Neurospora crassa OR74A: one gene and its partners. The protein of the gene in region 1 purifies or fractionates together with the protein of each later gene. This does not show direct contact. Links are inferred from orthologs where the notes say so. Each region holds a gene or a part of one and is shown on either strand. Other genes may lie near its edges.

Region 1 (3,940 bases):
TTTGGTGTTTGATGCCCACACCCCGATTCAACTTCTCGCCTCCGCTTTACTTCATTCTGGGGATTTCTTCACACCGATCTGGCCCCCACTGTTACCCCCTTCTGCTCTAGTTCGCCCGACGTATTTCGGCCATACTATTCTTCCACAAAGTCAAGAGATATCGTAGCCTCACGATGGACAGGTCACCGGCCAAACGTTTACTGCATAGTATCAACTCGACGACTTAGTGGATGAACCTCCCCCCTTGTCGTTTTATTCTTTTCCCCACGTCTTCACTGCTGCGTAACCCCCGCGCTTCGTTGAAGATTATGGAACCATTGAGATATGGTGCTTCAAGGTCCTTGTAAATGTTGCGGGAGGATCGTAGATGGGCACGCACCAAGTTGTCAGCTTGAAATGGGAGGTTTCCCCCCACGGCAACTGAGCCATCACAACATCCCACCTCGTTGGGTACCATCACATGGTATAATAGCCCGAGACTGAATGCTTCCTAGTCAAGACGTTCAGGAGATAGACCGGGGAGTCGAGTTTATGAGCCAAGCGAGTGCTGCGGTGTCTCTTATACTGTCTTTGCTCATGGTAACTGAGCACCTTAGCTGAACAAGGATTATTCCCTCTAAGTACAATCGCGCGAGATGCCCTCTGTGGTATCGCAGACAGTCGTTTTTTGTTGGTCAGTCTAAGCCAAGCACCCGAGAACCTTGAGGCATTGTACCCGCAAAACTCTGAAGACATCATCATGTGCCCATGTATTAAGAGCGACATGTCCTCCATGTCGCAGATACGTCGATAATGTCAGTTACCCAAATACCAGTAATCACGCTCAAACACAGAAAGCATGCTGCAAATACCTCAAAAAGAAAAAACCGTCAATAGACTCCAGGCGCCGCTTGTGGCCCCAATAATGCCTCAAAACGCCACAGACAAAGGTTTTACGCACCCCAAGCAAATCATGACAAAAATACCAACCCCGTTGAGTCTCATTCGGACGAGACATCTCCTTGAAAGCCCTTGAGCGTGTTACCGCCGCACTCCCGCGTGCAATACAACAAGGGGCTCGATCATATTGCCGCCCACGCGCTGCTAAGGGGCAAACATGATCCTTCATAAACCGCCACAGAGATCCTGAAACGGCCCTCGATACGGATGGCTTTCAGCATTGCCCAGAAGACTTGCTTCTTGACCGGGCCAGAGGCTTCATCAGCCGACCAGAACTGTTGATGTAAACCCAGGGTATACTCTAACTCGTGGCTTCACTAGGATTCTGTTGAGCGAGTACCTCGTAGTAGTTGAGCGAGTCCAAACCCTTCGTTTGGGAATGACCTTCTTGCATCTTGCAAGTCCCTTATGCTTGCAGACACCTGGAAAGGAAGAAACTGGTTAATAACAAACAGCACAACCACGCCGCTAAGACGTGGAAACTCACCCAAGGAAATCTCCGTTGATGCTGCCAATGGCATACATCTCACCCAATTCCGTTCTTAAGCCACCAATCTTGACGCGCACGTGCGTACCGGGCTCAATGACCATATCAGCGTTATTGGTAAACTGAGGAGGCGTCGCGTTGGGGTCGAAGTGGATTTCTTCGGGCATCAGCTATAGTTCTCTTGTCAGCGATCGAAGTTCGAGGGCATCGTATGTGCGTATCCAAAAAGACCGTAGGCGTCATCGTACGTGAGATGAAACGAAGATGGAGAGCGGGCCAGCTTGGCAGAAGAAGCCGTGAGGATTGATGGAAAAGACAATAGCATCCACCTGTAGGGACTCCTCGTTAGACCATCCGAACGGAGAGAACACCACCGAGAATCTTCGCTGTAACGAACCACTTCGCCTTTGAACGGCCTCCAAACCACAGCACGGTACTTCACAGTGAACTCGGCCAGGCCGTTTCCGGGGAGGATGCGGCCCTCGCTAACGTCGAACGCATCCATGATGGCAATGATGTAGTAATCACCGGCACACGTCCCTTCCACGTCCTTGACCAATTTGGTCGTGACAAGTTCGTGCATGTTCCTGCCGAAATAGGATGGATGCAGGGTAACCCGCCGCTCGAGGTTATGGAGGAAAAACATTGTGGCGGGTTAGTACTGTGGGATCGGGGTGTCGTCGGCTGAAAGTGGGCGTCGATAAGACGATGCCCTGGAGAGGTTATGCGCCTCGGGATGCCTTCGCGCGGCTGTCGTGTCGAGGGGTGCGACGGCGGCGGCAGTGCTGTCGAGACTTGGGCAATTGAAGTCGCGTGTCGGGACGAAAATGACAGTGAGGGCGAGATGCGAAAATCGACAGCAAGAATGTTGGTGTAGGGATCGTGTCGAAGGTGATACTTGGTTTTGTGGGGAGACGTCGTGACGGGAGAGCAAGGCTGACGGAATACACTAGATATCGACTATGATGGAACAAAAGCTTGGAGGTTCTGGAAGTGGTAGCCTCCAACACAGAGACCGCCGCAGACGCGGTTTCGGGACTTTGCCTTGCGAGCTTGGCCTGTCACTCGTCCCTTGACGTTTAGCACATGGCTCGTGCACAATCTGCAAGGAACAGCACTGACCACACGGAAGCGGTCTTGGCGCTGCCGGGATTCGGTGTTGTCCACAACTTCAACACCAAATATCCCAATTCCATCATATCATTCAACCAGACCAGGCATAAGATGCTCGTTGTAAGGCTTGTGAAATAATCTGCTGTACTATCATGTAGCGGGTTTTTCTTAAGGGAGTGTGTCTTCTACCAGCCCCCAGCGTTCCTTAGTCGTTCATGTAGCTGTAAGCTCGAGTAAAGGTACCATGGCTCATGCCGTTTCAACATGTGACAAAGACAGACTGTCGAATGATGTCTAAGAAGGAAGATTCGAATGGCCACAGCAAAGACAGTATGGTGGTTCGAGAAGCCAAAAGATGAGAACGCTCATAAACAAGACTTGAAACGGGTAACTCACGATTGATCACCTTTCTTACACCACAGCTGTTGGCCTTCCACTTTAGGTTGTGACGTTAACGTTCGTTGACCGAGAGGTAACCGCGTCGGTAGGAGCACCGACAGAGGCGGGGCACGTTCGGGTCCTGTCAGCATGCGTTTGATAGCGCTGTGGCCGTCGAGTTGGAGGGTTTGCGGGGGTGGGCCGGCCGGGAGCCTTAACAGGTTCCCTTGTTCCTGTTGATGGCGACTCCACAACCGAGGCATCCACACGTAGCTTTTAGCCCTCTGAGAATATGAAGATGGATATGCGGAGTGGAACACCAGACAGACTCCCACATCACCAGATCCCGCCGCTCTCTGGTCTTCATTAGCTGCACGCTCTGCTTTTCGAACACTACCAATTCCACCTGTTGCTCGTTTATACACATGTGGCAGTGATTCATTTCCTCTCTTCACTGGTCGCCCTCGACGCAACTCGACTTGTCATCTACTGTCGCTCTCCTGTCTCGGGTCTCACGGAACTGAGCGAGATCTCGCCATCCATTCACACCCTGAACCTCAAGGCTGTCTACAGCACCAACCTAATCATACCGGGCAAATCCGAAGCATCACTTTCACCATGTCCCTCAACCTAGAAAAGCAACTCACCTTTGTAAGCTTTGTTGCCTGAGTTTACCAAGCTCTAACCTACATGCTCCAAGTCGGCCTGCTCGGGCACCCTTGCTTGTTTCGTCCACTTCACCTCGCTCGAAATTCACGAACTGGAGCCTTTTGCTAACTTGTCCTCTCCCTGCTTGCAGTATGGTGCTTACCACTCTAATCACGTTAATGTAGTCATCCACATGATTTGTGTGCCTTTAATCCTCTTCTCAGCCTTTGAAATTGTATGAATTCTTGAACCACTTTCCCTCGTCCCTAGCGACATGTTCTCACACGCCTCATGCTTCCAAACTAGGCCTCCAATTATGGACCATTCTTCACACTCCCCTCCTGGCTTCAGGTACCGTACCTAGAGCCAAACCTG
Region 2 (4,129 bases), on another chromosome or scaffold:
CTTGTAACCACCGCGTCTAATAACCACGGTTTGGTTAATGGCCCGATCAGGTCCGAAGGTTCGCGGAGCTGGCATTTGCTTGCCGCTAGCAGTGGGGTTCCGCTTCAGGGCTGGGTTCATCGCACTGAGATCTGGGCCCGCAGTAGCAGTGTTGCGACCACCCTTGGCCGCGACCGTGGTGACGCTGTTAGCCCGAGTGACGAAAACACCAGCATTCTCGTTGGTGGTCGTGGTGTGAAGGAAAATGTAAGAGCGATGAATGTGAATGATCTTGCCCTGGCGTTGCTGGCCACCATATTCACGGACCACGTCGTCCAGCCTGATTTCGGAGCCGTTGCGGTCAGCAGCCACAGCGAACTTCCTCTTGGGGAGCTTGTTGGTGATTTGCGACGGCTGGACCTGTTTGGTATCGCCGTTCTGGTCTAGCACCACGACTGACTCGCGATCAACCTTAACGATGCAGCCGACAGTCGTGGCATCCAACTGCACAAGATCCAAGAGGGAGTACTGTCCAAGAGAGCCTTGGCCACCAATATCAGATGCCTCACGGAGGTCTTTGCTGAACACGGTGATCTCCGTGTTGGTCTGGTCTGTGAGGAGGGTGACTCTGTCGTCCACGATCTTGACAACCATACCAACTTCGTCACGGAACCGGCTGCCACCAATGACCTTGACGTGGTCACCAATCCTGAACCTCTTGCGCAGACCCTTGTTGGGGACGTCGATGGTCCGGCCAGCAAGATCACCCTCGGTAACCTGCAATGTGACGATGTCGCCTTGAACATTGGTGGCCTTGCCGATGACACCCTGCTGCTCGCCCTCATACACCTCGATAATATCACCAGGGACGTACGCAACACTCTTAGCGCTATCCTTGAGAGTAGCAGCAAGAGCCTTAAGATCGAGGTTCTCTGTACCGTCCTCGGCTCCACTGGCGAACTTGGTAACCTCCTCCAACGTAGGGTTGACATTCTTGACCTCGAGCTGCTGGATCTTGATGTCTTTCACCTGGAAACCGTTCTCGAAATCATCGCCGTTGTAGTTCCAGCTGTTGGTCTGCGGGTTCCCCTGGAGGTAACGGGGGTGTCTCTTGCGCGCCTCGGCTTCACTGAACAGACGCTGGGGAGGACGAGGGCCGGGCACACCGGGGCGCTTGCGCTTGCCATCGGCCTGGAAGACGGGGTCATCCCTGACACCGTAGTCGAGTCTGGGAATGAAACGGACTCTGGCCTCGAGGCCGTTTTCTGTAACGTCGATAACCTGAGCAAGATCACCGGCGTGCTTGGCCGGCTTCTTGAGACGAACCCAAGCGCCGGGCTCCAGGTTAGGCGTCTTGATGACACGCAGGAGGTCGGGCATGTCCTTGATCTCGACGAGGTGCATGTTGCTCCTGGGATAAACGTTGAGAATGCCATCGAGAGCCACGAGAATATCGTTCTGTCTTTGAGCCTCAACGTAGATGTATCCCTTCATGACCGAGTTGATACCACCACGTTCGAAAGCAGCCGTGATGGGGACCTCGTTCTTGGTGCCCATTCGCTCTTCGATACGACGCATAATCGAGAAGATGACCTCACGCTCCTTTCCTTCTTTACACCTGACGGCCCAAATGCTGGGGTCCTCGACACTGGGAAGAAGCAAGCGACGGGGCACAATGGCCATGTCTCCGTAACCTCTAGCCGGGGCGCGCTTGCCGTAGCGCTCACGCAGGATCTCTGCCTGTTTCTCAGCGTCGAGGCTGGCCTCCATCTCTCGGCGGCGGTCGAGCTCGCGGTGTCTTCTGTCATCGTTAAGGCGGCCGCTGTCGGCAATATCGTCAGGGTGGGCATTGTCGATGAAGTCCTCTATCTCTTCACCGTCGCCGACTTCGTCTTCTCCCTCGTCTTCGTCGTCAACTTCGGCTTCGATATCGAAGAAGGCAGCTCTACGGTCCTTGTTGCGACGCTTGCGACGATTGCCCTGCGGACAAAAGACAGCGGGTTAGCTAGGTCCCCGATGTGGCGACACGGGTAGGTTTGGCGGGTCATCTGCACCGGGACTTGTCTTTTGTTGTTTTTTTCTGGCAAGTGTGGATGGGATGGTGCTGCAGAATTGAAGTGTGGAGGGACATTATTGGGATCCGGACTTACACCATGAACATCATCCTCGTCTTCCTCATCTTCCTCTTCCTCTTCGTCCTCCTCTTCCTCCTCATCTATCTCCTCGTTCTCCTCTTCATCTTGCTCTTCATCCTCGTCATCGTCGTGGTGATCTCGACGCGATCGCTTGGCCGGGCGCGCGTCTTCCTCTTCGTCATGTTCCTCCTCTTCCTCTTCTTCGTCTGGTACCGGGCTACTAGCCTGCCTCACGGTCTTACCAGCGGGGCGGTGGTTGTGCGTGGTCTCTTCGTCGTTGTCGTTGTTCTCCTCGTCCGACATGTCGGCGGGGGCGGGGTTGAAGTTGTCATCGTCGGACTCGTCGTCGGCGCCGGCGAACTGCCAGCTGTTTGACGCCATTCTGAATAATTTATCTGAAAGAGAGCGGCGAGCGACAGGGGTGTCGTACAGTCGTACTACCGGCGGTCGCGCGTTGTGTCGAGGTGTGGGCGAGAGATGGAAAAGGAGAGAGGAAGGGAGAGATGGCCGTAGGTCGCGAGATGTGGGATTATATTTGTAGGTGAGAAAAGGAAGATTGGCTGGCCTCGAGCCGATGGATGATGTGGTGGGAAATGGACCGACTTTTGAGGCGTCGACTCGCTGTGAGTGTTCAGTTGCAGACTTGCAGCAGCAGCACCGCGGGTCGTGAGGCGGAAAGAGAGCTGCACGGCCCACAACTGGACAGTGAGTGGGTGGACTTGGAAGCACGGACGGTCACACCTCCACCCCCGGTTGGTTGAGGACACTGGACGGCAGGGGAGTGTGCTGCTGCTGCTGCCAAGCACTGGAATAAGCCGCTAGGCTATTCGCGGCCAAGGTCAGGTCTCCGGCCGGCAAGAGGTTCCTTTTGTTCAGGTTACATTCGACCAGGACCTTGCAGTCCAGGACGGGTACCTAGGTAGGTAGAGATACCTCATCGTCTATTCATTTGCGCACGTGGCTGAAGTACAAGTACTTTCAGCTGATAGAGTATGTAGAAGAGAGCGCTGCACCGTGATAACCTCCCTTTCGTTTGCCCTTGTCAACACCATTACTAGGCAACCTTTCATACCTAGTAAACACGGCCAAGTAAAAGTCAACTCCTGGCAGAGACAGACAGACAAAACTATCTACATGATACAGCGCTCCTCCAGGAAAAAAACAATCACCTGACCACCTCCTTATCCTTCCGGGTGACCGTCTGAATGAAGCTCTGATACTGCTCATCTTCCGCGGTCTCCATCATGATTCTAGCATTCCGCCTCGGTGGAAGCTCCCTAATCTCCGGCTTGGGTATCTGCTTGTTTGCCGTCGTCCACAACACTCCCCCCGTCCTTGCCGCCTTTGGCGCTTTCAGTTCCGCCGCCGCCGCTTCCTCCGCTCTTGATGGAGCATCAATCATCACCACCTCCTTGTCCTTGTCTTTCTCCTTCGCGTGTTGTCCCTTTCCAGACCCGGCCGCGCCGGCCCCGTCCTGCGCCTTATCTCCTTCTCCTTCGCCGTTCTCTGCCGTCTCGGTGGGTCTGGGCAGCCTCATGGCCAGTAGAACGTATTCGCTTCGTTGCATGGTATCCATGATATCGTCCATGTACCTCTTGACCTCTTCCTCCGGCGCCACTACTCTTGCCAAATTATCCAGCACATGTTTGCCACTGGGAGCCGCCGTAAACAACCTTATAGTTATGGGCTGGTAGTAATCAAGCTCCGGGTCCGCCATCGGATATACTGCTTTGCTTCCCCTCCTGATGATAAGGAATGACGCCACCACCTGCTGTTGCTGCTGTTGTTGTTGTTGCTGTCCTTGGGTACTGCTAGCGCTGCTACTGGGAATAGTCTGATAATCCAGAATGCTGAACTTCGGAAAGAGGTACCGATCACCGTTTCCTCCCGCAAACTCGAATACGATGGCCGAATAATCAGGTTGTTTGGGCGGCGGCGGGGGGCCCTTTGAACGAAGCGCCTGTTGGGCCGATGACTTGTCGGCTTTCTCTCCTTTCTCCTTTGTGGCCTTTTCG
Region 3 (4,107 bases), on another chromosome or scaffold:
TCCTTCTTACCATTGTCTGGCACGGGTGTGTTAGATTTAGGGGTTTGGTTCGCAGAATGGCGGGGCGTCGGCTCCTTGGTCAAACTGTCGATGATATCCTGCAGAGCCTTTTGGTTTTGTTCCACCTTGGCAGAGGGCTTGGGCACGTCGACAGCAGGCGTTGTAGGTCGCTGCCACTGGGTATGGCCGCTCTTGTCGTAAAAGTAGTATTTGCCTGTGCTGTCAGTGGTGACAAACCATCCTGCAGGAAGATTCGTTGGAAGCTTGCGTGGTCTCTGGTTGTTGAAGTAGTTCATGTTCCGTTGGGGAATGTTGCTGCGGGGACCCGTGGGCACAACCATGTTCTCGAACGGATTGACAGGTCTTGAGGGATGCTCCTCATGATTGACGTTGCGGCGGTCATCCTCAAACGAATTTGTGGTTACGGGAGCGGAGGGGTCGAGCTTCTTGCGCGGGATGCGATAGGCTGTCTCCAATTTGCTCCATTCCTGAAGCAATCGTTTGGACTGCGACGCGACATCCTCATGGTCGGAATGGGTGAGGGGCTCGACGGCGGCTTCGATGTTGGAATCGGTAATCTTGTTCTTGGTGATGCGGGGGAGTTGGTACAGGATATCGAGAATCTGCAGTACGACATTGGTGTCTTCCTTAAAGGTGTTGAGGGTTGTCTTCAAAATCTGGTATCCGTGCATCTTAACAACCCGGTTCCGGACATGGTCATCGTCGGCATTCTGAAGGCGGCCGAGCAGCTTGACGGCAATCCATTTCTCCTTGCACTGCATGAGCGTGGCCATGACCTTGGTGACACCCTCTTCATCGAGGCCACGAGGCTCGAAGCGGTTGATGTACTCTTCATCGTCCTCGGTAGCCTTCTTCTTGCGGGGCTTCTTGACGGTGGCCGCCACCGCCGTGTCCCAGCTGTCTCCATCTTCGATACCAAGCGCCTCGATGGTGGCAGGCGGCAGTTTGGTTGCACGCTCTGTTTGCGTTTTGCCGCCAATGAAACCGGTGCAGTTTGGTTCACCGCAGTAGCAAGGCTGCGGGTCGGCGCCATAGCGGTCCACGTTGTAGTTGAACACCAGTTCCTCACCAGCCTTGATTGCGCGCCCCGCAAAAATGCCCATGCGCAGCTTGTCACCAACCACCCACTTGTCGACGTAGCAATTAGGATCGCACGAATGGTTGCAGAACCTGCCGAGGTTGCCCTTCTTAGTGGCATCAACAAACTCGGATTTGGTTAGTGACATGAAATAGAAGTGCTTGATGCCCTCCTTGTCGTATTTGACCATGCGGCTGCGAAATGTCGGCTCGTTGATGACCTCGCCAATGTACTCGAAAATGAAGTCGTTAACTTGCAAATCCGTGTTTGCCCGGAGGCCGAACCCCTTCTTTTCCGTCTTGATGACCGATACGTCGGCGTACTGTTTTCGCTGAAAGCGCTGGTTCTGGCATCCGCTACCACAGTTGCAATCGCCGTCAACGCACTCCATTTTCGTGGCCCGATTAATACAGTCTGAATCTTCCCCGCACGCATGGTTCATATCACCGCCTATACGATGAGCCAGGTGTCAGTATTCGGTTAAGGGGGGGTGTCGGCGGGCGGGCGGGCCGGAGGGGACATGACGCTAGCGGCAAGGGGACGCCGAAGATATTTTCACTTACGCCATTCTTCCGCACAGTCACAATCCAACGCATCGTGCTCGGATGCACCCATGTTCTTTGAGCCATAGAGACAGTCATGAATGACCTGGAAATGTGTGCATGCCTCTTCCCTCACGTCGGGGAGATGGTTGAAGAGCACCGGTTCCCTCTTCATGTTCTTCTGAGACGCCTTTCGCGAAGGCTTTTGTGTCGGGACATTTTCGCTGGGAGTTGCTGTGCTCTCACTCGCAGCCTTGTGCTCGTCGGGCGACATGCTTGGGGGTCTCGAGATTCCGGTCTGGGAGCCGTTTGGCGTGGCCGCATTGCCGGCGTTGCTGGCGCCATCCCGTTTTAGCTTGGAGCCGTTCATCTTGGAGTGTTCCTCCGACTTTGATTCCTTGGTCGAATCCGGTGAGTGATGGCCGTCCTCCATGGTGGATGCAGCAGCAGCTGGGGTCGCCCTGCGCGCACCCGAATAAGGGACTGTGAGTAATGGTTCGGTTGTGTGTCTGTGTGTCGAGGGCACTTGGCGCACGTTTGCTGTACGAAGGTCGCAGTCGAGGAAAAAACTAAGAAGGTGCAGATCGAGGAGGCAACCTAGGGAAAAGGAGACGGTCGGCGGAGTCGGTAGGATTAGGCGCAAAGGTCATGAGAAGGTGAGAGTGGAGCGAGCGACGGGCTGAAAAGAAGGTGACGTCTCGTCTCAGCGGCAGAATGATGCAAGTTGATGTGGCCGAGTACCTGTGTAGTCGGCTAAAGCAAAGCGTGTGGTGCTTCGTGGTGCTTTCGTTGGAGAGGAAGGGAAGGAAAAGGATGCCGGTCGCTGGTGCCGTTATTCTTCCGTTGCCGTTGCGGTGTTCTTGTCTTGGCTCCTTGATCTTTGCGACAGCATGCTCAACTGCGACTGGACCGCTGGCTGGCGACTCGGATGCTGAGAGGGTTGGAGGCGACGAACTGCCACGCTTCAGATGGGCTGAAGCAATTATTCAGTTGTTGACTGTTGGATAATGGCCCGGGGCAAAGAGAGAATCGATGGGTCGGCGACGACGGTGGACGCAAGAGGGAGCTGTTTGGGGCAGACGACGCGCAGGTCCGAACCAGAGAGGGAGTCGCTGTTTCTCGGCGTTGTGCCAGTTGCAGTCAGAATTCTGAGAGTCTGGGGACGAGCGTAGCAATGGGAATTGTTCGTTCGCGGCGTCTGGCGCTACTGCCAATTGGTATCGGCGCATGGTCAAAGAGATCGCCATTCAAAAGTCCAGTCCACTGGAGTCGGCTTGTGGCAGGCAATCCAGCTGAGGCCGTGCCACCGTGAGCTTGTCCACCTTGGCTGGTCTGTCCGGCACTGTGCCGGTGCTCATTGGTCTTGCCTGCCGCAGACTACAGACTTCTGCGTTTCGCTTTTGGCAGCCTCGGCAGCCCACGACGGCCCGGCAGCTGAAAACCAATTGGCATTCGGCAGCTGGCAAGGCTATGCTGACCCCACCATCAATTGGCGGCGCAATGGCATGGAATTCCCATTCGACCAGCAAAAAGTTCATCACTTCATCACATCAATGGACATTGCCGTTGGAAGTATCGGCCTTGGGCAGCGATTTTTTCAGCCATTCGACATGGGTGAAGGCTTGTCTTCAGATTCAATTAAGATTGCGAACGGTCCGGAATTGGGCGGCCTTGGTGTCAAGTGTCTCGTCCACTGTGGACTCGTGATGGAGAGAGAGAATGCCTCGAGCAAAGCGGGAGTCTGGGGATATCCGGATGGGGAAGCTTAGGATCTAGGTTCCGGATATGCTAAACCCAACCCTCCATGTCATTTCACGTCTCAACACCGATGACGTCCGACAACCTATATGAGCCCAAAGGGTCTGCATTGTACTGGCGTTTCCGTCCCAACCTGTGCGGCCATCGCCATCTGTGGAACAACAACCACATATCGTGCCCCCTCTTCCATCGGAATGCGAAACTGCTGCAATTGCGTGGCGCTCTTGATAAAGCACTGGTTACTTTTCAAGCTTTATACATTGCCTTTAGGAAAAGGTACTGCGGCGGATGTAGTGTCTCTGACGGTTTCTGGCTTCGATATATGCTGTATCTGATCTCATATGTCAGGGACCCGCCGGGCTTGTCTTTGTGTGCAACGTCGTTGAACCATGCTCTCCCTCCTTTCTGGAAGGACCTCCCATACGTAGCACGTCGCCTCGGACCAAAAAGACAAAGGAATAAATAAACAAGGAGACATGGAACAGGGCGAAACGCATAAACACTACATGCAACCCGGGCGCAGACAGGGCGCAACATTGACAGCAAAGCGAACACGACGTAATGGGACAGCCAGCCAGCAGCAACCGAATGAGGCTGGTATCTATATAGCTGATGGCCCGGCAAAGCCTGATGGTACTATTGCTGGAAATGTTGCCAAATCCGTCCGCTTGCCCTGCCGTGCACTTTGCTATGGTTCCTTGGTGTAGC
Region 4 (3,123 bases), on another chromosome or scaffold:
GGAAGCAAGTTCAAAGGGCGAAGAGGCCACTGCCAAGACGACGGCAGAGGAAAGCAAACCCGCGGTTGACTCGACTGCTGGTCCTGCTGGTCCTGCTGCTGCCGCTGCTCCCGCCACGAAGCCGGTATCTATGAAGTTCGGCATGAAGCCCCAACCGAAGAACGTCTTCAAGAATGCGTTTGCTGGGGCTCCCAAGAAGGTTATGGCTGCTCCGCCCAAGAAGATGAGCGAGGCCGAGAGGATAATGAAGGAGGAGTTGGAGCGCAAGAGGGCTCGCGAGGAGAAGGGTGGGAACTTTCCCAACAAGAAGCCACGCTTCCAGTTTTAACATACTGTGGAGTCTCACGTGGGTAACTGGTCAAAGGTTATGCTATCTCCGGGTTTGGCAATATTTCGGTACATGTTATAGGGGCGTTTTCGGCGTGATGGGAAATGTTTAAAAAAAAGATACCATATTGCATTGGGGTTTTCGTAAAAGGGATCCGTAGCTGGATGAATAATCTTCCATATAGGTTAGGTAGTGATAAACTCATTTGTATGATTGTTGTATTTCGCTGCAGTGTGTAATTATAGCCCTGGGTTGATCATGCAAAACCCAAAAAATGGCCACTATCCTGCTGTCTAGACCACGCCCTTTAAACCAGCCTTAACGCCTTGAACTCCTGTTGCCTTCCCTTTAACAGGCATTCCGCATTCCGCTCCTGGGTTGTCTGTGAACGATCTATTATCGGTCCCTCTTCCTTCTTGCTTGTCGGTTCTCTTTCCTGCTTTCTTATCCGCCCTATTCCGTCTTGTTTTCTTGCACCGCAGCTTCGAGTTTCTAGTCCGCTTCCGTCGCACTGCCATCGCGCCTGCTCCAAGTTAGTTTCTGGCTGTGCCCCGAAAACCCCACGATCATAGCCTGCTTCGCCAGACCACACGAGTGTAAGCAGGAAACTTACGGGATATACTGAATGCCGTCATCCTCCAACGTGGTGCGCACGTCATCCGGCAACTGGCCCGACACCTTGGTCGCGTATACACCCTTCACATAACCGTCCAGCCTCTGCCACTTCGCCACCCACGACTTCTGCGGGTTGGCAATGGTGATGATTCCTTCAAAGACTTGCGACGTGCAGCTGTCGATCTGATCCGGCGAGCCCTGGAGATGGAGGAAGTCTTCGCAGTTGGGGCATCCTTCGTCACGGAAGCGCTATGACAAAAACAAAAAAGGTCAGAAACTTGTCGGTCATAGAGTGACTAGAAACGAGGAAGGGCAGCTCGACTTACAGCATAGGTCATGACGATAGAGCAGACCATGCAGGCACGAAGGTAGCGCTGCTGGCCGGGGGCAACGTAGTTCTCCGACATTTTTGGGAGATGTGTAGGGATGGCGATGTTACTGGTAACTTTGGGGGCGGAAACCGATAACTCACTCGTCTACGAATAGCTGAGCGAGTGAATGAATAACTGGAAAAGGACACTTGACGAAGGAGGGTGATGTTCTTTAGAGGAATGCATGTGAACATCGATAAGTTGTTCTCTGGAAAGAAGATCGGCCGCCTCTCTTGCCTGCCGCGTCGCGCCAGCGCAAGCTCCAGGTCTCACAGCGGGCCAGGAGTTGACATGCAAGGGGCGCACGGTCCAGGAGCTAGAGAAGCAGGAGAGAATGTGGGAAAGGTGGGGGCCGAAGTGGAAGCTGGGGCCGATGCCTGGAGGTGGACAGTGGAGACACTGCCGTGCAGTTGGGCTGGGCGCCGTCTCACACTCATCCACAGTTCAACTCTGTTCGCCGAGTCCGGGGCGTTGCATCCGAGTTCCATTCAGTTGCCAGTGGTCGCCCGCTTCTTATCGAGCAACCAGGTGGATGGCAGCTGTGCTTTTTGGCCCAAGGGAGGACAGTCAACTGCTGCAGTGATACTCTGATAACTGAACTGAGCTCTCTACCTACCCGTCATTCTCTCGACTTCCACTTCTTCCACTTGTTTCGCGCATCCTCGATTCGACACGACTCGAATCATCACATCTTCCAGTTTGCTGCGATATTGCCTGCTCCAACTCTATTACGACACGACACCTGACAACGTCGTTCGAATTCCCAAAAACCACACAACCACAGCCACGACCAGCGCTGGCGTAGCATGCAAAGCCCCTCGACTGTCAAACCACCTTCTATCCGAACTCGGCCAATTACCCCGGAGAGTGGAAGATGAATTGATTGCACCCGGTGGACGCATTGTTGAACAGGTGTAGCAGTAACAGCAGCAGACCGCGGTAGCAGCGAACCACCTGTGACGACCCCGTTCGACCGACCCGACCACCACGGCGACCCCATCCCGTCATCAGCGCCAGCGATCGAGCTAGGGAAAATGGGGAACAACCCCTCCACCTCCAGAGACTCCAAGACCCCGAATCCGCAATCCTCCTCCTCCTCCTCTCAATCGCAGTCTCAGCACCAGTCGCTGGCTTCCATCCAAAATGACTCTGCCAGAGCAGTGAAGCGCGATACCAAGCACCCTATACCGGTCCCAAATCAGCGAGTCGCTGCCCCTCCTGAGCCCTCCTTGACCCAGGCCCAGGGCACCGCCGTCCAGCCGCCCTCAACCACCGCTCGTCCCAAGTCGCTGCACTCGCGAATGCCACCTTCTCAGAGCGGCTCGCCGGGCTCGTCGGTGCCTACCAGCTCTGCCACCCCCACCAAACCTGTCGAAGTAAGACAGCTGAGACCCGAAGACAGTCATGAGCCCGCGAAACCTGTAGCCGTGCCCACACCCTGCCACGCCTCGTCGTGCTCACCTAGGTCGCCGGTGCGATCACCGCTATCAGAGAGATCGGATGCCTTTGAGACTGCGGCTATGCAGCTGAGCAGTCTGCAAGATGTCTCGTACCTGACCAGGCCGCCGCGACTACCTCTGCCGATCGAGGAAGAGGTCCACACACCCGGATCGCCTATCATTGCCCCGACCGACATTGGGGTCCCACTCGAGGATGCCGACACTTTCACCGCGCTCACCAGACGCTCTTCCAACTTGAGTAACAGCTCAACTCTGGACGAAGAAGACACGGAGGAGCTACGGGTGGACAAGACTAGACCGACTGTCCCCACCAGGCTCGAATGGCTCCGTGGCGGCGAGAAGGTTTACG

The links.
Region 2: the proteins of NCU02661 (region 1) and NCU06929 purify together in Saccharomyces cerevisiae (affinity purification with mass spectrometry; 8 studies listed by BioGRID, with this or other methods). This does not show direct contact. The link is inferred for Neurospora crassa OR74A from reciprocal best matches to the Saccharomyces cerevisiae genes RPB7 and SPT5.
Region 3: the proteins of NCU02661 (region 1) and set-2 purify together in Saccharomyces cerevisiae (affinity purification with mass spectrometry; 3 studies listed by BioGRID, with this or other methods). This does not show direct contact. The link is inferred for Neurospora crassa OR74A from reciprocal best matches to the Saccharomyces cerevisiae genes RPB7 and SET2.
Region 4: the proteins of NCU02661 (region 1) and NCU03838 purify together in Saccharomyces cerevisiae (affinity purification with mass spectrometry; 4 studies listed by BioGRID, with this or other methods). This does not show direct contact. The link is inferred for Neurospora crassa OR74A from reciprocal best matches to the Saccharomyces cerevisiae genes RPB7 and SPT4.

What each region holds. Positions count from the first base shown.
Region 1 is NC_026501.1:3,099,607-3,103,546, reverse strand, and holds NCU02661 (DNA-directed RNA polymerase II polypeptide), read right to left. Parts: upstream 2,646-3,940; 5' UTR 2,073-2,645; coding exon 1,824-2,072; intron 1,756-1,823; coding exon 1,675-1,755; intron 1,597-1,674; coding exon 1,427-1,596; intron 1,362-1,426; coding exon 1,346-1,361; 3' UTR 501-1,345; downstream 1-500. Other genes in the region: NCU02660 (DUF962 domain-containing protein), read left to right, coding at 3,536-3,568, 3,717-3,800, 3,872-3,940. UniProt on the Saccharomyces cerevisiae protein: DNA-dependent RNA polymerase catalyzes the transcription of DNA into RNA using the four ribonucleoside triphosphates as substrates. Component of RNA polymerase II which synthesizes mRNA precursors and many functional non-coding RNAs.
Region 2 is NC_026507.1:793,417-797,545, reverse strand, and holds the start of NCU06929 (transcription elongation factor spt-5), read right to left. Parts: upstream 2,801-4,129; 5' UTR 2,496-2,800; coding exon 2,130-2,495; intron 1,960-2,129; coding exon 1-1,959. Other genes in the region: NCU06928 (hypothetical protein), read right to left, coding at 3,280-4,129. UniProt on the Saccharomyces cerevisiae protein: The SPT4-SPT5 complex mediates both activation and inhibition of transcription elongation, and plays a role in pre-mRNA processing.
Region 3 is NC_026503.1:3,235,166-3,239,272, reverse strand, and holds the start of set-2 (histone-lysine N-methyltransferase), read right to left. Parts: upstream 2,801-4,107; 5' UTR 2,075-2,800; coding exon 1,663-2,074; intron 1,550-1,662; coding exon 1-1,549. UniProt on the Saccharomyces cerevisiae protein: Histone methyltransferase that trimethylates histone H3 'Lys-36' forming H3K36me3. Involved in transcription elongation as well as in transcription repression.
Region 4 is NC_026505.1:2,571,786-2,574,908, reverse strand, and holds NCU03838 (transcription elongation factor spt-4), read right to left. Parts: upstream 1,694-3,123; 5' UTR 1,351-1,693; coding exon 1,270-1,350; intron 1,193-1,269; coding exon 942-1,192; intron 852-941; coding exon 821-851; 3' UTR 501-820; downstream 1-500. Other genes in the region: NCU03839 (APF1), read left to right, coding at 1-328; NCU03837 (Snf1 kinase complex beta-subunit Gal83), read left to right, coding at 2,349-3,123.